Schizosaccharomyces pombe: one gene and its partners. The protein of the gene in region 3 interacts with the protein of the main gene of each other region in a pairwise test. Each region holds a gene or a part of one and is shown on either strand. Other genes may lie near its edges.

Region 1 (8,360 bases), 2.0 Mb from region 3:
AGATGGGGCTTTCAAATTGTGGGCAGTGAGCATTCCACGTACAAGAGCAATCTCAACTTTGAACTTCAAATACTTGGGAGGTTCGGCGACAGCAATAATTTCAAAATCTGCATTTTTATTCTTTTTTTTTCGTTCTGTCAACCAGGCAGAAAATGCTTCTATATGGGAGGGTCGATCTTCATATATCCTCGTGGAGTTAATATATAGGAAATGACGGTAAACTTCATTAAAAAACCAAAGCTTAAAGTTGAGTGTTTGGGGCCAAAAACCGTCAGGAGCTTGAAGTTTAAACACAACCCCTTGGAAATCTAAACCCTTGCTTGCAATGATTTTTTCCACGATTCCTCGAAACCCTTCGTTGCGGCCAGTAAGTAATACCGCTAAAACATCAGGTCGACGTATCGATTCTCTGGCTTGTGAAACACTATACACATTAATAACTATAGACACATGATATATGTTCTGATTCCATCTTTTCAATGCCAAAGTCGACAGTACGAAACCCGAATTCCAATACTTACATTTTTTCATTCCACCAGCCTTCCCAGGCTCTCTTCTCCTCGACCTCGACACCGTCACCGGTAGCAGCTAAAACGTGTGGATCAAAAAACCATCCGCCATTAGCCAAAACTTAAAAAAAAAAGGTTAGTAAATGATCATTGTAAGCAAGTCTCATCAATGAAGTCAGTAAGGAAGAAAGCAAACAGTGAAAGAGTTTACTGAAGTATAAAAGTGAGGACATAAATAATTGCATCTCAGACGCATGGTACATGAAAAAATCCACACTATGGTGAACAGACAACCACTATGCCAAAGGTAAACACGTCGTTTTTTTCCATCTGGACTTGTTAAGACTAACCATTAACATACTATTAAATGCCATCAAAATCCGAATCGCTTGATTGCTCCATATGTTTGCATTTGGCAATGGAGTTTGGAACAAGGTCTGCAAAAGGCTGTTAGTTTTTACGCTCATTCTATCTTTCCAGGGATTGAGCCTTACATTATCGAAATCATAAATGTGAACCTCTTTGATTTTATGAACGTCTATATATCCCCATTTTGAAAAGTCATAGGTTCCAAGCCCAATGTCAACGTTCAAACTCATTAAACTAAAGGCCGATCCAGTTTAAACGTCGAAAATTAAGTTCTTAAATAATAAGATAAAAGTTTCGCCAAAAATTGCTTTTTTTTTTATCTCAAAATTAACTAAGCCAGCATTTGAAAGGTGAAACTACAAAATCCCGTACTAGCCCATATACTGCACATTTTACCGAACCCGACGCTATTGCTAACCGTCCCGATATACTAATGCCAACATACAAAACGAAGTACTGTCGAATCAATCAATAAAAGTCTTAATAATGCAAACATTTAGTGTTAATTTTATTTCATCCCATAGTAATCGTATATTATTAAACATAAGTTTCTTCAAGCCGAGAACTTTGGTAACTGAAAGCGAAAACAAAGGTAAACAATGGACTTCGCATTGTAAAAGAAAGAATAGAGAAAATAGGGATAACCATAAACAAATGAAGAAGTACATACGAAAAAATTATGTGAAGAGCGTTTTTTTTTTTTTTGAAAAGTTGATACGCTCTAAAAGGAACTAACCATAAACTCAACTTTATAAATGCTCTATACTATTGACAAAGAAATGAATGCTCAACAAGTTATTGCATGCAATATTCCATTCTGAAATATAGTGCTGTCCAAGTAAACTTTAGTTAATATAGGAACGACAGCGAAGATATGCTTTATTCTAACAGAATATGCTTAATTTTGAATGAAAGGGGCTCAAAAATGATTCCTTTTTCTCGGCATTAAATTCGGTGCAACACTATACCAACCAAACCCAAAACATATCCACAAAGAGATTCTTTACTTTTGTATCGAACTGCAAGAAGATTTGAGCTGTTTTTATTTGTAGCCTTGAGTATGCAGAGATTCGTGAATTTTCGTTAAAAAGTCTAGGTATCCAAATCCTTCGCGAGTGTTATCCTCTACTAATGTTGAGAATATTTCACCTTCACTACCATCTAAACCCTGGCGTACGATTTGTGGGTGAAGAGCCATGCTGGGAAATTGCATTCTAAGAGAAGAAAGGAGATTGCGAACTTGTACAGAAAGAACTGTGTCCAATGTCGGAAGCTCAAGCGCTTTCAGAGAATCAATATCCTCAAGACTCTCAACACCTAATAGATCTTGAAGTAAAAGAGGAGAGGTTCTTTGATGAAACCATAAGTAAGACTTTTGGCCAGTGACGATTAAAAAAGCACCACCATCCTCAATGAATTTTCGAGATGCTCGAACGCAAAGTGGCATATTGATAGGTAGACAACCCGTATTTTCAGGGTCAGGAAGACAATCAGTGGGCTGTAATTGATGTAGTGCATAAATGTTTGGATAAAGATTTAGCATCAACTCTTGAATAGGAGCTGCTCTCACCTCTCTGAGCTGTGAAACACGAATATCACTATGAATGCTTCCACTTCGGATAGCAGATGATTTCAAAACTGCAAGAATCAAAATAGGTAATAACACCAAGTTCTTTGGAAGAACCAGTTGGCCTGGAGTCAAACGATTAGCAGCAACCTTCCGATAACTAGATAAGATTTTCACGACACCCTCCACTAACCTAACCGATGTATCTTTTAAAGAACCCGCTGCAATATTTGTCGATGCAATTTTAGCTAAAACTGCAACGATAGGTTCAACAATGGCAAGAGAAATCGTATCGTAGCTTTTAGAAGTGACAGCACAGCAATAGTTAACAACCCTTACTCTTCTCTCACCAGAAGGAGTGGTATATAAAACCGCAGTTTGAAAGTGAGCGTCCAAAGCTCCATTTAATTTTCCATCATAGGAAAACAGAACTGTTACACTTTTATCAGCATCAAGACTGCCAAATTCGATATCTTGTGGAGTTCGTTGCAAGAAGTTGCCTAAATATTTGGAGACACGCAGACCATTTGAGCATCGTGTCTTCAACATCACTCGATAGCCTTGCTCTCTGGTAACACTTCTAAATAAATCTTGTTTAAGTCGAGATCCATCACGATCAGCAACAAAATTACTATAGTGGTAAATCTGCCCACCACTTAAGGTCGCAACACTTCCAACAGTAGCAACATCAACATAAGCAGTAGCAGTAAAGAAAATATCAACACCTATACCAGCAGTAACATATTCATCGGCAAGAGATGTATACCACTTGTCTTGGGTGTTCCAAAGATTCTTTTCATCAGAAGTCCCATATAATCTTTGATCTTCACGATGCCTTAATTTCCCCAATCCCATCGTAGGAAGAGCACTAACAAAAACAAAAGCTTTTCCACCTGTTTCCTTAAGAAGGAGTTTTACTACTTCCAGTGCATTGCCAACGACTGGTTCGGGAATTTTAACATCTTGAAAAATTGCAGGGAAACTGTCCAGCAATCTCTCAATGACAACTTTTGAAGCAATGGGATCAACAAAAAGACCGGAAGAAAATGGAACAAAGGGATTCTCTAAATCAGAAGCAGCTAACATATGGGGTTGCTCTAAATTAGGAGATAAATTGAAGAAATTAACGCTTCGATCAAAGCAGACAATAGCAATTTTGACATTAGGATCAAGAGGTACCGGTCCGTAGAGAATATTCCGAATAGCTTCAGCTGCAACCTTGGGAAGTCCTTTGGAGGAAGCTTCATAGGAAACATCAATCATAAAAACAAAGCGAGCCGGCTTTGGCGGATCCTCCTTTATCCAATAGTCCTTCCCCACTTTAAAATCAATAGTGCCAACATTTAATTCTGGACGAGACTCCACTCCATCATGCTGACTACCGACTAAAGGATTAAAACCATCATCATTAAAACTATTTTCTGAACCGCAAAGATTGCAAGTCCATTTACTACTTGCCATCGTGAATTGGATAAAAGGATTGATGTAGCCACGACATTTTTTGCAACGTGGGGGATTTGAATTTGTGTTATCTACAACGGGTACGGGTGCTTCATCAGGACGTAACTCTGCGAACGGTTGAACAATCATTCCCAAGGGGATTCCGGAAGCATTGCAAACATCATTGGTAGCTGGAATCGCGTAACTGGTAAACTGAACGAATTTGGAAGATGAATTTCCTTGTTCATACCCAACAAAATCTGTAGTGGACATAGGTGGAGAACCCTTTTCCATGGTATTGAATATTTGGTTTTTAAACAATTGCTGATCTTCATAGCGAACTTCAGGAGCCGAAGGTAATGCTGCAGGATCGAGGAGATTTGTATCATTAGAAAAAGATTCTGGAAGTACTGAGGGTGTACTTGGCGTAGGATAATTCATGGAAGGCGGGATAGCAGGCGACATGACAGGAGCCAAAGCTGGTTCAGCATCTGTCAATGACATATCATATGCATGGGCATCTTTATGTCTTCTAGCGCGTCGGGGTTGTGGAGCCATTGCACTACCTTGCTGTATATACATTTGTGCGTTCATTTGAGCAGCTAACTGAGTGTCAATTTCAGGGCCCCCATATGAAGCAATATTGCCAGCAACATTTTGCCTATAAGTCTCAGGATTACCGTAATTTCCAAACTGCCCGGGATAGGCCATTTTGTTTTTGTGTCAAGTTTACTTGGTGGATGTACGAATATAAGTAGGTAAGGGTAGGGCAAAATATATACCAAATAAAAAGACTGATTTGAAAGAGTAACACGATATAAATAATTTTAGATAATAAAGTGTGAAATTTGAGATTCTTCAGGAACATCAGATATGAACTGGATGCATTTCCGATTGTCAAAAGTTGACTTCCCTTTAAATTTGGAAATGGACAATTTAGCTCTATATGTAAAAAACCTCAGCTGTTTCAAAAAATGTCATTTCACATGGGCAGTGGCTCTTTAATGAAACAGCTAATAATATTGATACAGCGGAGAAAGTATCTATACACCTAGTATCTATAGCGAATAGTCAATAATGATATTCAAAACAAGTGTTATTAACCTAAATAATTTAGATTGACATTTTGAAAACTAAGAAAGAATGAATGTAAAGATAGGTATAAAAATGTAAAGCAAATTTTGATTGCAAATTATTAAAGGATAGATATATGCAACAGATGCAGTAACAAAAGGAGGGTCAAAGAACGGGGAAATCAAAATCACTGGACTCCATAAACTGATTGTGTCAAAAAATTAAATAAGATATTTAGCAAATGTTCTTGACAAACTTCGTTTAACACTCATTTTTTGGGCATTCACAAAGGAATCAATAATCACTTGAATGGCTTTGTCTATATGTGAAGGGCGCACAAACTCACTGAGCTGCATTTTTGCAAATGCTTCACTTAAACGGATAGCAGACTCCAGATGACGCACAGTAATAGGATAACTTCCAGTAGCCAGTGACTCGCGTCTCATATCGCTATAAAGTCTCGAAATCTTTTCTTCATCCATTTGCTGTAATCGAGGAAAAACTTTTTCACGAGCGAAATGGATATATTTACGAAGAAGATCTTGGGGAATGGGTTTGGCATCAATACCAGTCTCAGTAGGGACTTTCTTCAAGACATCCATATTCGGATCAAATGCAGGATGAGATCGAATATGACTTGATACAACAAAATTAGCTAGCTGTTCATCAATTTCAGGATTAACCGTGTCTTTGACGACCTGAAGGATGTCAAAACGAGATAAAATAGGTTCGGTCAGCTCAACATTTTGATTAAAAGGAATTGTAGTGTTATAACGTCCACCGATGGGATTAGCGGCAGCAATAATAGTGCACCTCGCCTGCAAGGTAGTCACAATACCCGCCTTAGAAATAGAAATACTTTGTTGTTCCATGGCTTCGTGAATAGAAGTACGATCCTGATCATTCATTTTATCGAACTCGTCAATCAAACAAACACCTTTATCTGCTAAAACCAAAGCACCCCCTTCCAAAGTCCATTCATTCGTAATGGGGTCTTTACGGACGGATGCAGTTAGACCAACAGCACTGGCACCCTGACCTGTGGCGAAGACAGCCCTATGTGCCGTTTTTTCAACATACTTAAGAAATTGAGATTTGGCGGTTCCTGGATCTCCCAACAATAAAACATTGATATCACCTCTAATTTTATGCTTACCGTTAATATTTTTGGGGACACCACCGAATAAAGCAGCAGCAATAGCAGTTTTGATAGAGCGATGTCCATAAATAGAAGGCGCCATCGATGCAATAATTCTGTTGTGAATATCAGGCGACTTTGCTAATGCCCGAATTTCCCTTTCCTCATCATCAGTAAGCCGACTTAAAGAGAAATCATCATCAGTATTACCACTGCCGTCAAGTTGCGATATGTGATTTGCTTCTATAATTGTAGCGAAGACAGGAAACCCGTTTTTGGTATTCAGACTAGCATCGAAGTTATTGCGGTATATGCCAGTAACATCAATCTCTTCGCCTGGTTTGGCAACATCAACCAAGTCCGCTAAAAGAATAACTTCACGGTGTCGAGGCAGTCTACCTGAGGGGACGGTGCCAGGTGATTCTTGTAAAGTGATCCTTTGATAGTTATTATATACAGTCCGTTCAGAGTTGATTACAAACGGACCACGGCTGGAACAGTTGTGACAGAAAGAAATTTTTACTTCAACGCTAGAGTCTTGAAAAAATGGACCCAAAGTAGCACCACATTTGGTACATGTAAACCGAATGTATTTTAATTGTGGAAAAAGCCCAGTGCGCCTAGTTACGACACCAGATACCCGTACAAGGCAATTAAGATGGGATTGTCGTAGATCGCGTAAAGTAAAACAAGTAGGAAGATTAGTGATACGAACATGAATATCAGAGTGTATTCTTTCATAGTCTGGATAATGCAAAAGAGTGGCTTCCAAAGCAACACGATCAAATATGCGAAAAATAGGTGCAGGCGCATTGGCCAAGAAATAAGCCAAAATGGGTTTAGATTCACCAAGATGGGCATAATTAACCATCAACGACTCAGCATTAACCTCACCCAATGTGCGAATACGGTTACCGTATACAGAGGTGCCATTTTCATCTGTATATTCAAGAAGGAAATTTTTGAATTCTCGAGCAATTGTACGCCGAACAGGATCAAGAGTAACCCATTCGGCAATACTATCGGCCTTTACGTCGGCAATTGATTCAAGAGGAAGTTCACCAGATTCGTCCAATGCGCCAACATTAGGTGAATATTCGTCGTAAATTCGATGTCGATGACGAGTGAAGCCTGTGCCAAGATTGGAGTCCAAATCATCATCTTCATCTTGTAAAAATGCAGCAGGTTTTGTTCTACCTGCAGCAGCATCGAGCTCAATATCACGTCGTCTCAACCTGGCATCAACAGCTCTTCGGGCCCCGATATCTAATTCTTCAAGATCGTTATCGTCATCTAGTTCTTCAATGTCATAACGATCTAGCTCCAAATTTTGTTGATAATCACTATACAGTTAGAAAAAAGTACCTTATTTGACGCGAAATGTGAAACTACTCTTTTGAAAATCAAGATTTGTTCTGTCAATATAACCGCAACCTAGGAATCCAATAAATATATTTATTTACAAGAAGGAGAAGAAATAGTATGTAATTTATATATTGATGGCAACACTTAGTATACACAACATTGACAAGACACGTCTCAAGCATAGCTATAAAACTTACCGTTCCATTCCTTCTCCGAACAAATCTTCACCTTCTTCATCCTCTACATCTAAAGCTTCTCCGTCCAGATCCTCAATATCCTCCTCCACGAGAGCTTCTGCAGCTTCATCAGAGAATTCTGGAGGAGGTGAAGAAGGAGGTAAAGAAAGAGGTGTAGCACCGAGAGAAGAATTTTCTGATTCAAAAGGTAAACTTTCAGAATCGCGGCGACCCCTTTTCCGAAAAGAATCCATCTTTGGACTCAAATACTTTAAAGATGTTGTTTCTAACTATTTTAATGCATTGAATAGCTAGAGTATTGCAGGATGAAAGAATAAGAAATGCTACAGTATATTGTTAAATTGTATTGGAAAATGTAGTGATACCTGTAAATGAAATAGAGGAGCGTAATGAGTTAGTGTTTTGAATTATTCAAAAGACATTCTTCGCAATTGTTTACGCCGTCTATTTGCCAACGTTTAGTTGCATTTAATAACTTATGGAGGAAACGGCTCATGAATTAACGGTTAAGCAATATGTTGAACAGCAAAGGGAGCTTGAAAGGGAGGCACGAGAAGTTTTGCCTTACAGCTTTGACACGTGCACTTATTCGATGGGCTATTTGAAGCAACCTTTATACGCTTGTTTGACATGTCAAAAAGCTAGCGGAAGCTTAAATGCTGTTTGCTATAGCTGCAGTATTAGCTGCCATGCTGACCATG
Region 2 (8,040 bases), on a different chromosome or scaffold from region 3:
TTTCTTTGAGACCTGGTTTTTCGTTTGTTCTTCGAAGAAGGGATCGGAGTTTCTGCTTGTTCGTGTTCAGACTGGTCATCAGAATCAATGCTGTGATTAACGTCTTGGTCTGAAACTAATCCCTTGTCTTCAAAAGCTTTCTTCTGTATTCTTTCCTTTTCCTCTAATTCACTAATTCTTTTCTGTTCTTTCTTAAGTTCCTCTGAACCTTTGGTATCAAGTAGCTTCATCCAAGCTGCAGCGTCAGGATTGTATGACATTCCTGGATCAGCGATAACAACATTTGGGACTTTTGCATTATTCTCAGTTAAAGATTCGGGTAGTTTAGATAATGTAGAAGGTCTTTTAACAGGTATAGTAACTGTTGGGTTTGTTTCCCAAACATCATAACTTTCCTTTGGTTGTTTGGTATTTTTGAGCTCACTAGCAGCAGAAGTTGCGGTTAAACCATCTTTATTTTTATACACCAAAGCTTGTAGTCTATTTAGTTCTTTTCTAGAAAAAATTTTTCCTTTCTTATTGCTTTCAGTTGAATTATTCGTTAAATGAGAATGAACTTTTTCTATGGAAGACTTATTTTCAAGAATTTGATCAACCTTTAATGGTTTAATTTTTTTTCTGCTTCTTTTTGCAATTCTATCATCACCAAGAGTGTCAATTACAAATAAAGCATCATTCGGCTTGTGCTCGACATTTCCACTGTTTTAAGTTAATAAAAATATTTTTAATTAATACAATGCAAAAACTAATATACCCTTTTATTTCCTCATCTCTAGTCTGCTCTAGACCAGACTCGATATCCTCCAAATCAATATTTTTCCTCCATGCTCGTTTGTTTTTACGAGATGATTGTTTATATTGAGAAGGTGCATTCCTCTCTTTGATTCCCATCTTTTTAAAATAATAGGATTTCGACTCTCTAATCTAATTACTACAATTAGGAGTGCTTGGCAGAAGGCAAAATTCTACCACTTGCCAAGCACCTAGTACCGCAGTGCAAAATTACATTCTTAAATTAGTTTTTCAATATAAGTGAATACTCGCCTGGATATATAATCTAATTGCAATGAAAATGAAATTTAATAAATATTTAATATTTTTTTTATGCTTTAAATAGAAGATGTGAAGCTCTAAAGTGCGAAATTGAAAATCTATACACTGCAACTCAATTGTAATGAATTAAATTAAATTATTAGAACCTTTTGTTATTCTTGGAACAACTTCAACATCAAGTAATATGAAAATAGACAAGGTATAAAAGCTAAAATTTATGTACAAGCTGGCTGGAAGCTACATGTACGCAAATACCTAATTTAGTTTGATACATATATAGCTTTCATCAATATAAAAAGCACCAAGTATATTTACTAGATCAATTATTTAAATTTTTTTTTTCTTAAAAATACAAAAAACCAAAGAATGTTTAACCATATTGAATATTATTAATTAATCATGTCACTAATTCAGGCATATATTACCATCAGAACAATCAATTTAAAAAAGTTTTGTAGAAAGTAGCCAGATTTTACAGCCTTTAGTCACGAACTTTCTCTTTAAGAGTCTGCAAAAACTGTAAATAGCTGGGAGAGTTCTCACTACGATCCTCGACGAAGTGAGAGAAAAACCATGAGCGCAATTGTGGATCACCATCACCACGTACAAGGTAAAGACTAGGCATAATAGTTGAACCTTTATCCAACGAACGAAGTTTACCGAGAATCGCATTGATACGAACGTTAAGTGGGTTGTCTATAACTGGCATTGTAAAACGTCCAGCTTTCAAATCCGCAAGAGAGTTTACACCAAATGCGTCTATCAGTAGCTGCGGAACTGCATCTTTACCAATATACAAAAATTGATGAATGTGTGTATCAACCAAATATAAACCAAAAGATTGCAACAAAGCTGAAGTAAGATTTAACGCAGAAGGGAGAACTACACCCTGTTCTGTAACAGTTCCTGCTTCAATAGGCATATCGTGCAAAGAATAAAGAGTTGGATAAATGTAACGCATTAGTAAAGGAGTTGGCAGAGTACTTAAATAACATAGAGCAATAGAACGAAGGTCAGATGAGATATGACTAGATCTTCTGAATCCAGTATGCTTCGTCAATGCTAAACAAAGCAATGGTAATAGTCTTAAATTGGTGCTTATTTGAAGCGGGATCGCAGCACCGGTGTTTTGTCCAGCCAAATTTTTTTTGTAAACTTCCAAAATTTCTACAAGCTTACTTATAATGCTATCACGGGCTTCGTTCAACGTAGAAGAAAGAGCCTTTTCACTAGCCCGGACAGTAAGATATTGTGCAATGGCAACTTGATCGGCTGATGCATATAAATCAGTCATACTATTGGTAGTAGGAAGAGAAATAGTCAGTACACGAATCCGTCTTTCACCGTTACAAGTAGTATGGAGCATAGCTGTTTGGAAAGAAACAAAGGGCTTGGTGATAGTGTCCTCAATAACAACCTCTACTACATAACTCTGATCGCGAGGAAAAGAAGGAAACGCACATAGATCACTTGAACGATTAAAAAAGTTTCCGTAGAAAGAAGACATACGGAGACCGTTAGATCCACGAACACGCATCACCGCCTCTAGCTCAATCTCCATACTGAGATAGTTAGTAAGTTCAGAAGCAAATTTAAGAGCGTCCTCGCTACGGGAAGCATTCCACCTGTGATAGAATTGGGTTTTACCAGAGGTGTATCTAGGAAGGCAACTTAAGGTTGCTACATCTTGATACTGAGAAGAAAAAAGAAACATATCAACAGAGACTTGAGACGTGGAGCATTCCACCGCGAAGGATTTATAGAAGGAGTCATTGGGATGAAGAAGGCTAGATTCACGATTTGTTCCCAAAAGTTTAGGATCTTCACGTAACTCCAATTTACCAACACCAACATTAGGAAGACTCGAAATGAGACAGCAAATTTTACCGCCAATATTTTCAATGAGACGATGGGCAGCCTTAAGACCTGGTCCAAGGGCATTACTAGAATCACGGGTAGTTGCAAACATTGATTGAAATCGCTCGAGTAAGTTTTCAATGCCTTGTCTACATTCGCGTAAATTAAGTAACAAATCTTGATTCCTGGGTAAAAACGGTTCCTCTAAATCAGAAACAACTAGTTGGGTGGCTTCTTCAGCACCAGGGGAAACTGAAAAAAAATGCAGGGCACTGTCTACACCAATAAAAGCCACCTTTGCACGTCCTTCTTTATTGGGGATGCGATCCAATGATTCCAGAATTGCACGACTTGCAGTACCAACCATACCAGAAGATATGGATACAAACGAAATATCAATTAAAAATACGTAAACCAAAGGTTGTGGAGCACGAACCATATATTCTTGAGGAGCAATAAAATCAACAACTGCATAATTGAGCTCAGGACGTTGCCAGCGATCACGTTGGACATTTCTGAAACTGTCCCAGTCATATGACTGGGGTACTTCATTAACAATACCACAAGAATTACAGCGATAGCGATGGCCATTGTCAATAAAGATACTAAAAGGATTGATATACATACGACACCTGCGGCATCGTGATATAATAGTATCAGTAACAACTGGAACTGGATCATCTTCTTCGACCAAGCTAGTATATGGACGGATGACTAATGCAAATGGAATTTTTGACTTTTTTAACAAGCTATTTGTTGTCGGTACACAGTTTATCGTGGATCGAACATATTTGGGAGGGCAATTGGAAGTAGCTGCTCCAGTAGCGGAATAGCTTAAGGGTAAATTAATAGGAGGAGGAGGAGAGGTTAAGTCAGAAATTTCTGGTGTTTGATTGTACAAATCAACAGAAACTAACTCATTGGTAGGCATAGCTGCTGCACCATCTGCTCCAAGTGACATTCCGCCAAATTGTGCAGAGAGAGATTTAGTTCCCACCTCTGCGCGATCATGAGGATATGGTGAAGAGGATGGAGTTCGTGCCATAACGTAAGAGGGCTCTGAAAGAGAAGGGGGAGCCGGTGACGCTGCTAAGGTATTTGTAAGTTCAAACACCTCAGCAGGATACTGTCTACGAGACTTATGAGAGGTATGAGAAACGGGTGGTTGTTGATCGACAGATCCTATTATGTTGGTAGGAGCAGCACCCATAGCTCCAACAGCGTATTCACCATTGCTTACAATGCCTTCAGCTGTACCCTCAGCAACTGCCCCGACATAAGGAGCGGTATTATCTAGCTGGCCAGCAACTGGATAAACTGGCTGAAATCCTTGAGGAGGTATATTCGAATTTCCACTACTAGCTCCATAACTACCCTTTCCGTAGAAAGCGTCCTCCTGACTCATTGCTTTAGTGTATTTTTTTTTACTTACAGTGGTATATTGCTAGCAAAAAAAAGAAAAGAAACACTGAATTATTTAATAACTTTTTTGAAGATCCCTCTATTTTTCCTTCCTTTTCACAAAAAGACGTTTTTAACAGTGTTCCCTGGAGTAGGTAAATGGCAGCTACATTCGCTGGTTCAACTAACGTAGATGGAAAGTTAAGGTAATCACTGGAAAGTTAACGAGCTTTACAGTTTCGTTATTAAATACTATGTATCGTAGTAATTATATCGGTGACACACGTTATTACCCTAATAATTTTAACATAGGCAGGAACTTTGTACCTAATTGATAAAAAATAGTGATTATTAGTAAACAAAAGCCAATAGAGATATTTTATCGTTTTAATTTATTCTTTTTTTTTTTTAAGTTTGATATGAGGCAGATACCTGTAAACGTTTTCAACTAAAAAAACTCTTCTAAACCACTCATACTTAATTTTCTATTTTAAAAATTTTACATGTATATATCATAAACAAGAGAGTCACATCTTAAGAAATTTTGAAATTTTTTTAAAAATGCTCTCAAAAACCATCACTGCATGTATCGTACACTATTTAGCTACACCAACGCTCTATAATGTTACCCAATTTTAACAGGCTCACTAGTTAATTAGAATTCAGAATTGCAAAGTATCAAAAGTTCAATTATAGATTGAATAATTGAAGTTGCCTGCGCTATTTGGTTTTGTCTTACATGAACTATTACACCCCGGGTCCCTTGCTATACTGATTACCTTTTGTCAATGTTTTTTTCTTAATATTTCTTCAGACAAGTGAACATTATTATGCAAGGAAAAAACAATTTAAGTTGCAGACCGGATACAGAGGACAATGAAGAGCTCTTTGTCGATGATCAACTCTTATCACCCATTGGTGACTCGAAAAATACAAGTTCTTTCATTTACTTGGGAAACCCCATAAGCTTTCATGAATACAATTATGATGAGACTATGGTATCACCTGAAAATGTGAAAACAGCAATTGCTGGAAGTGCGAAAGACCATGAAACATGTCGAGGCTTCAAAAAAACAGGCACTACTTCATATAAAGACTTTGTATTCAGTAGAGATTACACCAACTGGACACCCACTTTTTGGGTTCTGTTAAGTCAACTAATTGATGAATTTTTGAAAGAAAGCGAATTAAACTTTGTGGCTGCGAGAGATCTTCTTATTAAAACCAAAAGACTTCCAAAACCTTTCAATAATTTACTCATTCAATTTCGTATGACACCTGAGTGCTTTCAAAAAAATCCGCTAATTCAAGTCTAGAAATTCAAGTGCCCAATGTTTCACGAAGGACTGTGTATAGGCATCTTAAGGGATATTTTAACATTCCAGGTTATGAAAGGTTTCAATACGTTAAAAAAGCGTCGTCTGGATCATGGGGAGCAAACGACATTATCACTTTGGAAAAAGAAATTGCTATGTTTAAAAAGGTATGGTCTTTAGCTTGCTGTTTTATTATAAATATTAAAAAACAGAAAAAAAATTGGTCTGATGAACAATTTCTTCAATATGTTTGGTCTGATAACCATCGTGATGAAATGAAAACATTATATAATTGTTTGTGTAAGTCAATTACTATCACTTGTTACTAATTAATAATAGATGAGCTTATCGATAGGGATAAAAAGAGTATTTACAATTATCTCCGCAGAAAATATAATCCATTTAAGAAAAAATGTAAATGGACTATAGAAGATGAGGCAGAATTGAAAAAGTATGTAGTTTACTTTCCAAATTGCAACTAACTAATAGACTTGTTGAAAAACATGGAACATCCTGGAGCTTAATTGGCAAATTGTCGAATAGACTACCAATGCATTGCAGAGATCATTGGCGCGACTACATTCAACCTGGTGAAATCAATCGTTCACCATGGACTATCCAGGAGAAAGAAAAATTAATCAAAACGGTTAATCAATACTTGCAAAGCAATCCTTCATCCCCTATTCAATGGAGTCTAATTTCTAAAAACATGAGAAATCGACACCGTCATCATTGTAGGTGGAAGTATTACACACTAATTTCCAGAGATATACATAATAGTTCCCCTTTCAAACTTGGCGATAGTATATGGTTAATTGAAAGGTACTCCAATTATAAAATTTTAAATAAGAAGCTAATTAAATTCAGAATGATGGACCTTAATGTTGCAGAGGAACGGATGATTGATTGGAAATGCTTATCAGAATATGCTAATCACCTATGGACAGCAGATGCTTGTAAATCGCATTTCGAAAGAATAAAAAAAACCTTGTTTATCGATGGACTTTCTACGTTTTCTGGTAAATTTTTGAATATAATAATTATTGTTAATATGTTAACGCTTTAGATACTTTAATTCATTTGCACAAAATGCTAAATTCTTCTCCTGAAGAAACTTACATTTCGAACTTACATGATTCTTACACCGCTTTTTCTAACGCCGATGATTTATGCTAGCTACATGAACAAATTTATTTTAACTACTTCCTCAAAGTCATAGATTTAAATTTTTTGTGTATTCATTGAGAGAATGTTCTCATCTTACTTATATTAGTAAATTCACTTTTATATTTTTTCTAGTATACATTTGTGTATGTAACCTGTTTGCCGTGTAGTCAATAAATAAAACAAATGTGGATAAAAAGGAAAAATAGTTTCTAACATTGGAGATGCCGGGAATCGAACCCGGGACCTTTTCAAGGTGCGAACTATGCGAATGAAACGTTATACCCCTAAACTACATCCCCAGTCGATATGATGTTATAATTTAACCCATTATTAATAAAAGGTTAAAAAAAAGAACGAATGTCAAGCTATAAAATAAAATAATCATCATCATCATTGATTAATTTAGCAAGGGTGCCTGCATCTAGTTTTTTTATCAGTCAATAACTCATACATTAACCGCATTCATAAGAGGCTATTTTGACAGGTCATTTCTGAATTTTTTGAATTAAATTAATAGTACACAGAGAGACATAAATGAAAACTAAGTAAGTTTCATTAATAATACATGAATACAGAAGTGATGCCCACAAAATAACAAATCAGATAATTCTATTTACTTACCCATCATAAATTTTTATTCATTGATGCGAAAATAAAATATGGATGAAAAGAGGTTGATTGAAGAAAAGTAAAATCATTAAATAATTTTTTCTTTATGATAAATTAGCCAAGCGTCTAGTGATTTCATAGAGTCAAAGAACGGAATTTAAATTACTGATGTACTGAAATCCTGATTTTTATGTCAAATATTCTATCACTTCCTAACTAATCCTTTTCATAAATATGACTAAAAAAATTACAAGTTTAAGTTGTTTCGAACTTATCCTCTACACATTCATAAATACGCCATGAAACTATGCAATGTACATCAAAGACAAAAAAAAATGTTTAACTTGTAAAATAAATTGAGACTAGGCTTTTCAAAATAGGGATATCTCCGATAAAATCTCATACATAATCATGCAATCCGAAATTGGAATTGAGCTTGACAGGCAGGCTGCCATTCTAGGAAGCTATATCTGTGACAGTGGAACATAAAAAAGTCATATTTACAAAAATCTAATCCTTCTTCAAAGGAATAATTCTTGTCTCTACACCTTCTTTTGTGATAATCTTAACAAGAACTGAATCACCAACCTCGATGTGTCGTTCTCCAGCACTTGTAAATGCATCAGTAGTAATCTTC
Region 3 (7,656 bases):
ACCATGCCAAGGTACCATAGCTTATTGAGTATGACAGAATAAATAATCGCCGACTCTCCGGAAATATCCAAATGTAAACAAGAAGCTGACATTAGTTTCTTCACACTGCTGAAATAAACTTACCAGAATATTCCCCCAATAACAAAAATCAGCTATGAAGTATTCGTATCCTTTTCGTTGATACGTATAATACCTTATTTAAGTTAAAAATGATGGCATACGAGAATACGAGCCACGCTCATATCCATTAGAAATTATAAGCTACTTACCTCAAAGGTAAATAAACGAAAAGCTGTATAGTATACCATAGGTGCATTGATTCAGGAGCCATACCAACCAGCAAGGCAGTTAAAATGCAAGTGCTAACACCTAACGCGAAGGATAATTTATCGCGAAAACGAACAACTTTTCCGGAATTCCATTGTTCTTGAAACTTGTCGATCGATTTCCCTAGTCTTTCTTTTAACTTGTCGGTTTCATAGTTAATTTGTTTATGAATAGGCTGCAATTTATTTTTTTGACGTGATACTCCATGTTTCAACTACAGACATTAATAAAATACAAAAGGTGGTAATGTTATGTATGGACATACCTGTCCTTTCTTTTGATTATAATGCTTGTGTAGCCAAGAATAGACCCGATAAATGTTTGGTGCGTCAAATAAATCTGTAAAACCAACAGAATCATCTAATCCATGAAGTCCATAGTCATTGTCTTCCTCAAAGATCGAATATTCTGAATCAGTATTTTCATCAAATTCTAAATGATCCATTTTCCTTTATCAAAAAAGTAATTGGCGAAGCAACAAATCAACGCAACCGTATATCCAAAAATAAAGTAAGGAACCAAAAAATGGAAGCGTGATCTAGTTTGTAATCAACCGATTGAAGAAATACCAATGTTAATATTCCTATTAAATATTGTTCAATTTACTATGCTTTAATATTCTAGCTTTTGCAATAGGAAAAGAATTGTGTTGAGAAAGTTGCTGATTATCGGAATATGGTATACAATACGTGTTACAAGTAGTTATGACTATGATGCATATTTTCAATTGAACGGAACACGTTTATTCCAATAACCACCGAACAATAAAAGTATGTTATATTTAAAAAAACCTCTCTTTTATAAAACAAACATAGGCTCTTGCCCATTAACTAATTTTACACGTTTGTTGCTTAACTTAATACTACCATTACCATAATTTACTCCCAAATTAATCATAAATTCCCTGCGAATACGTACCAAGAATGCGAATTTTCAATACCTAAATTGGGGTAGGTTACTTTGCACGAAACATTAAATGCATTACATTCCGAGAACAAATTGAGTAGTTTATGCCTTTCTAAAAAAACTACATTATAAATACAGAAAATAAAAAAAGCGGTCTCCTTTTTTAAAAGATTTTACACCATTATCTGTATGAATAATATCAAAATATGGTGTTAACAAATGCTTGAACATTTTCTTCTAAAGATGGAATATATACTAATAGTTGATGTATTTAGGTTGCATCGACATTACAAAGCCATAGTTGATAGCTCCGCTATTACAAAGATGCAAATGTGTAATGATAGTTGTATAGACTCATCTTCAATATAGACAATTTAAGATATGACAGCCATTTTACGAAGATGGTCCATAAACTTTTGCAGGTTTACGTCGTCCGTTAAAACCGTTTCAGAATCCTTTGACATTGGTGAAAATTGAGAGGACTTGTTAAAAGAAACAGAAGGATTAATTCTTGATAGTAGGAATCTCGCTTGACTACCTCCCTGATCGCAAACAATAAATCGTGGAATAGGGAAGCGATCAGCCAGTAATTCAGTAACTTCAAGACGCGGAGCTAAAAGAAGCTCCTTCAAATTAACATACTCTGGTTGCTCTTGGTAACCAGCATTTCTCCATTGAGCAATAGTTGAACCATGGAAAATCAGTATATGAAAATAGGTGTCAAGTAGCAAAATCACATCTGGTTTAATGGAAACAGAATCCAGTAATACAGGTACCCCTTCAGGCTCGTTAAAGCTATAGGATTGAAGAGTGGGTTGTATCATAATTAAAGAATCATTGACATCCGCAACGTTCAACATATGACGATAGAAAGAAGTTTCATCGGGAGAATTATTAAAGATATGCAAAAATGGACTTCTCCTCAAGTGAAAAATAAACTGTGGATAAAGTGTAAAGTTTGGAAGTAAACGGAAACTGGAAGGGTCTTCTTTTCTATAGTCTGCAAAGTGTTGACAAAGCCTAATCAGGTTTCTATCAATCCATCTAGTTACGCTCATTTCATCCTCGGTTTGACATTTGAACAAAGCCATGCGAGCGACTATAGCAGCAGCAGCTTCCTGATCAAACGACTCCGAAATACTTTTTGCATTGCCGGTAATAAATGAGCGAGATATGGTAGTAACACGAAGTCGATAAGTTCCCGAAGAATGTTGGTAATATGTCAAAAACTGAATGAAAGCTTGAGTAGGCCTTTGCGAATTTGGATTCCCCATCTCTTTACCCAAATCGAAATATAGAGCGTATGAAGATTTAGGTGAAATCGCTGCCATTTTCCAAGAATTCGTTTTGCTTATGCCAATTTGAGTATCACTAATATTAGTACCTTTTTTATTTTCACCAACTCCATTTCCAATCATTCCACAGATAGTGAGGCCTTTAGACGTTAAGACTTCCAAATTCGCCATAAACCCCATTTTTAGATAACCGGAAGCATCAACACTAAATAATCTTTGAAAGCTCTGCTTAAAAATGGAAGTTGTAAATGAGTCGGATAGCACAATGGCACCACCAGTATTGTTAACAAGGTTTTCCATTTCCATTATACCTACTTGATCAAGGCAACCAGCAAATAAATCTAGAGCATGCCCTTGGTTGGAGAGGCGTTCAGCTAAAGAAGAATAGAACTTTTTAGATTTTTTGAAATGCTTAGCTTTGTCATTTGCAATTTCAGAGTGTGATCGCATTGGTTCCTTGAGTTCTGTTGAAACAACTTGACCCAGGCCAACCGTACAAGGACCACCACAAAATAACTCAATTCTCGAGCCACATTTAGGGAAAGCAATTCCGAGTAAATCGGAAGCTATCTTCACCGCAGCACCAGTACATCGAAGTTGCCTTTGCCCAGCTGGTACTTCGAGACAATCCGGCTGAAGTTGTTCAAGAATGTTAAGCAAGTGCATTTCACATTTCTGGACAGGCATAAGAAAGCGAGAGGCTGCACCAAGATTGAGGGTAATGCCTGTACCAGAAATTTTTGCTTTAGAAGAAGAAGAGCGAATTTGATTACCACTTAACGCTAATAGTTGTTGAAGCTTCATAGTGCTGTAATCAGCAGCGGGTTGAAAGACATACGATTTCGGCATAGCTTCAAATCCTATTTCATGAACCTGGATTAAAGACCCGTAGGTAATTAAACCAACAATGGCATCTGGAGGGAGCAAACTAAGACTAACTATGACTGCATCTTTGAGAGCAGTGAGTTCCGACTCATCAACTGCGGTGTCCATAACAAATAAAAACACAGGAGGAGATTTTACAGGCTTTGAAAGAACATACTCCATGGTAGTACTTTGACTGAGCAATTCCAACGGAAGACTGTTGCTGGAAATATCGCTATATTGAGCAGGAAGAGGATTTCGCTGAAAACAAAACGGACCTAGGTTCCAAATATTAGTGATTTGAATATATTTAAGGGTTAAAAATGCTGTAATAACTTGAACTAAATACTCGAAATTTATACCACTCATCACTTAAAATACGAAGCTGGTAACAGACATCAAGTATACGCTTCAAAATTTAGCTTGAACCAAGACTTACATATCCAGAATCTAGCACGCAGATCGACATGACTTATAAAATAATTTAGTATATTGTAAACCTAGGTGAATACACACGTACCAATAAGGATTTAGTACAGCGCGACACGGGGCTCTGCATGCAACTGGATCATACTGTTCTATTGTCATCCTTTCATTTTCATGTAAAGGAGTGTACATAGCAGCAATTGGAATGACTGCTCTAGCATTTTCAGCAGGTGTTGCTGAAAACGTATTCCATGAAAGTCGTATCCCTAAACCATAAGGTTAGCAAAGTTCTCCTCTTATAAAAAAAAGAAATACCATCTTGATCTTCTATGTCCTCAAAATTCATTTTCCCCTTAAGTTAACAGGACATTCAAACTTCGTCCAAAGAAGTAAAAAAACGTATGCTGGTATTAATTAGTGGACATGCAAATGGGTTAAGAGGGTACACATGCACCCATTAACGGGCTTAACGAATTTTAGCGTGAGAATAAGTAAACAAATTAACTAGAATACTAATTGCATTTACGAATGAATGAATAAGTATTCGAAGTAGTAGAGAGATATATTTTCTACCAGCTGAACCACTAACTTCTCAAAATTTAATATAAATCCAATATGCACTAGCAAAATAATGTACTTTTATCTCAAGGCGCTATTGAAGGCTATTGAGTAAACAAATTTTCTTGTCGATATAAACGATCGTTTGTTTGTACTCCAAATATATTGGTCTCTCAGAAAAGCCTTCGGACATAACACTTCAATCGAGTGTCACGGAAGTATTAACTACATGCACTAATGCAAAGAATCATCGTAGTTGAGAAAAAAAATTGAAAAATACTATAAGTTTACTACAACATACATATTTGAAAATTTTCTTCTAGTAGTATCATTAAAGCAATTAAATCCTTTACATAGCTCTAATACTTGTACATTCTTCTTATTTGGTTTATCAAAAATATTTCAAAGAATAATAACGGAAACCATTCCAGATATCTAGAAATGAGTAAAAAAAGAGATGATAAAACTTTATTTAAAGAAACCTAAACCAAAACTTTAAATATAAATTTAAGCGGAAGGAGCATCTGACGCGCGAACCTGAGACATAATTTTGATCATATCTCCAAGAACACCGGCAGCGGTCACAGCAGCTCCAGCACCGGCACCAATAACTACCAAAGGACGAGTATGGTAGCGTTTAGTGGTAAAGGATATAATGTTGTCAGACGATTGAAGGTTAGCGAACGGATGAGAAGCGTCGTACTTTTCAAGTTTGACAAGAGTGGTCTTGTTAGCAACGTCAGCCTCACCAACAAAACGGACAACCTTGCCTTCCTTCTCAGCTTCTTCGCGCATGCTAGCAAATTCTGAATCAAAGTTAGGTAATCCAGCTAAAAACTCTTCAGCATTTACAGCACTCTTCAAAGGTTCAGGAATGAGCGATTTAACAGGGAATGAGCTAGCTGACTCGACATGAACACCAGCAATACGAGACAAGATGGTGACTTTACGAGCGACATCCATGCCATTCAAGTCATCACGAGGGTCAGGCTCGGTATAGCCATTTTGTTTGGCAATTTTGACGATATCAGAGAATGAGGCAGTTCCTTTCTTGCCGTTAGGAGACCAAACGTTGAAGATGTAAGACAGAGTGCCAGAAAAGATACCTTCAATCTTTATGATTTCATCACCAGTAGCGATAAGTTCTTTTAATGTGGAGATAATTGGCAAACCAGCACCAACAGAAGCCTCGTGCATCAATAAAGCACCGCTCTCCTTGCTAGCCTTGATAATGTTTTGATAGACATCATTACTAGCAGAGAATGCTTTCTTGTTGGGAGTAGCAATGTTGATTTTCTTGCTCAAAAATTTAGGATAAGATTGAGCGATTGCTTCAGAGGCAGTGTTATCGACCAAAATGGCGGGAAGGGGGGACTTGGCAAGGAAATCTACCAAAGCATCTAATGAATAAGCACCTTGGTTCTGAGAAGTAAGGTTCTTCCATTCAGACAAATTAATGGGCTGATAATCCTTGGAGACGTAGTGACCTTCCATACTAGAAATGGCAACAACGTTAAAAGAGGTAGTGCCATTGGTAGAAGCGTTTTCATTAAAACCCTTAATTTGGTTTAAGAGTTCACCGCCGATGTTTCCTGTACCTATTTATTTTTAAGTGATTAGCTTTCGCTTTACAAAACATTCAAGCATTCAATTTATTGTGTGCTTACCAACAATAGCAACGTTAACGTTAGTTCTGCTAGCTGACATTTTCAAATAGTGGGTGGGAGAGGTAGAGATGCTACGACGTTGGGTCGGATTACGAAAAGCAGTGACAAGGGTTTTCTCAAAGGAAACTTTGGAAGAGGTGATATACGAATTGATAATTTTGTTGTAGGGAAATAAAATTTTAGAAAGTGTAGATAATTTAGGGAGATTTAAATTTTTTCCATGTCTAAATATTGTCATACCAAACATTTTTTAGAAGAGTTTATTTTATACCCAAAAATGAGTTTTCAACCAAGGAAGGATCTTTCTCTCTGATTGATATCAAAGTTTTGCAGGTATATTTGTTGTGAACAAAATGTGAGCGACATTATATTAATCGAGTCAGAACATATTTGTAATAATACTCAAAAGCGCAAAATCTATTACTGTAGCAATAATGATGTTGATTTCGTTTGATACAAATTTTATTTAATTTGATTTTGTTTTATTGAAGCTCCGCTAAATAAACTTAGCTAGAAATCTAGTATAGAAGCCGATTTATATAAATTAATCACAAATTATAAATATAACGCATTAAATTTCATATATGGGATTCAATGGCATACAATCATATATTTACTTTTACAATTAATAAAAACCACTTAATCAACTTATGTGATTTATTAGTGTTTATCGACTCGTGAAAAAAAATATTTAATTTTTTGCTTCGTAAATTAAATTATATGCTGCTAAGTGTCTAAATAAATCACATTCCATCCATCAAATTTGCTTTTTTATTATTAAAAAAAAAAAAAAAAAAAAAAAAAAAAGAGATTTTTGAAGAGAAAAGTCTAGGGTTCAAGAAAATGAAAAACTGTAATGAAACCAATCTGACTATATAATTTGTTAATTATATATGCATATTATTATGATTAGCAAACTCAAATCATAAGCAGGTGCAGCTTTTTCAATTTAAAAGTTCAGATAACATACATTAAATTATTTATTTATTTTCTAAATCAAGCTTAGAAGAAAATAAAATATTATGATAAAATACTGCGAAATTAAAATGTTCTGAATATACCATTTTAAATTCTAATGAAGTTTTCTTGCAAAACAATAAACCGATATTATCTTGAAGTAGGTTGCTATCTCTTAAAATATTTAAATTATTCTTCACCTTTTATTAATAAAGAAAATTGAATCAATTTGCTAGACAATTTGTAGAGCAGCAAGATTTAGAGGGTTGTTTAAAATCAACAATTAATATAAGAAAAGAATTCCAAAGTAATTTAATTATAGGTTTATATACGTTTTTTTAATGTAGTAGTGATTATAGAAACTAGGAATATAGGAAAGTAGGCACATATTATGCATCAAGCTCGTTGTACACCCACCACCCAACCATTCAACTACCTACTACATACAACTCACTCCAGTTTCCTACTGTTAGCCATAACCTTTATTTCTGAGTTAGCAGCAAATATTGCTTTTAAACGGTTTGCCGACTGAATACCGTTCTCCGTCCGTCTTACTTTTCCTCGGAACACTTTACTTGGAAGAAAAATCGTCGAAATTCGGTCGAGTAAAAAATTAATCACAGACCCAAAAATTTGACTTCATAAGTGTCAAAAGC

Evidence for each region.
Region 1: the proteins of sec2302 (region 3) and sfb3 interact in a two-hybrid assay, tested with the Schizosaccharomyces pombe proteins (one large-scale study listed by BioGRID).
Region 2: the proteins of sec2302 (region 3) and sec24 interact in a two-hybrid assay, tested with the Schizosaccharomyces pombe proteins (one large-scale study listed by BioGRID).

The regions. Positions count from the first base shown.
Region 1 is NC_003423.3:1,186,217-1,194,576, forward strand, and holds sfb3 (COPII-coated vesicle-associated protein Sfb3), read right to left. Parts: upstream 4,606-8,360; 5' UTR 4,597-4,605; coding exon 1,921-4,596; 3' UTR 1,430-1,920; downstream 1-1,429. Other genes in the region: SPOM_SPBC4.02C (rRNA methyltransferase), read right to left, coding at 1-424, 522-630, 871-946, 1,004-1,108; MCM complex subunit Mcm2, read right to left, coding at 5,181-7,440, 7,660-7,892; ubiquitin protein ligase E3 component mlo2, read left to right, coding at 8,138-8,360.
Region 2 is NC_003424.3:4,796,030-4,804,069, reverse strand, and holds sec24 (coincidence detector Sec24/Sfb2 subunit), read right to left. Parts: upstream 4,476-8,040; 5' UTR 4,316-4,475; coding exon 1,535-4,315; 3' UTR 1,418-1,534; downstream 1-1,417. Other genes in the region: rRNA processing protein Rrp16, read right to left, coding at 1-699, 755-891; RNA polymerase I termination factor Rtf1, read left to right, coding at 5,142-5,580, 5,628-5,794, 5,840-5,927, 5,967-6,078, 6,117-6,449, 6,495-6,646, 6,694-6,803; 20S proteasome complex subunit beta 6 Pam1, read right to left, coding at 7,914-8,040. UniProt on the Schizosaccharomyces pombe protein: Component of the coat protein complex II (COPII) which promotes the formation of transport vesicles from the endoplasmic reticulum (ER).
Region 3 is NC_003423.3:3,175,121-3,182,776, reverse strand, and holds sec2302 (COPII cargo receptor subunit Sec23b), read right to left. Parts: upstream 4,225-7,656; 5' UTR 4,165-4,224; coding exon 4,134-4,164; exon of another isoform or gene 4,085-4,133; coding exon 3,913-4,084; exon of another isoform or gene 3,864-3,912; coding exon 3,832-3,863; exon of another isoform or gene 3,671-3,831; coding exon 1,608-3,670; 3' UTR 1,439-1,607; downstream 1-1,438. Other genes in the region: gpc1 (transporter), read right to left, coding at 1-85, 124-193, 270-541, 593-772; hom6 (homoserine dehydrogenase), read right to left, coding at 4,884-5,974, 6,044-6,083.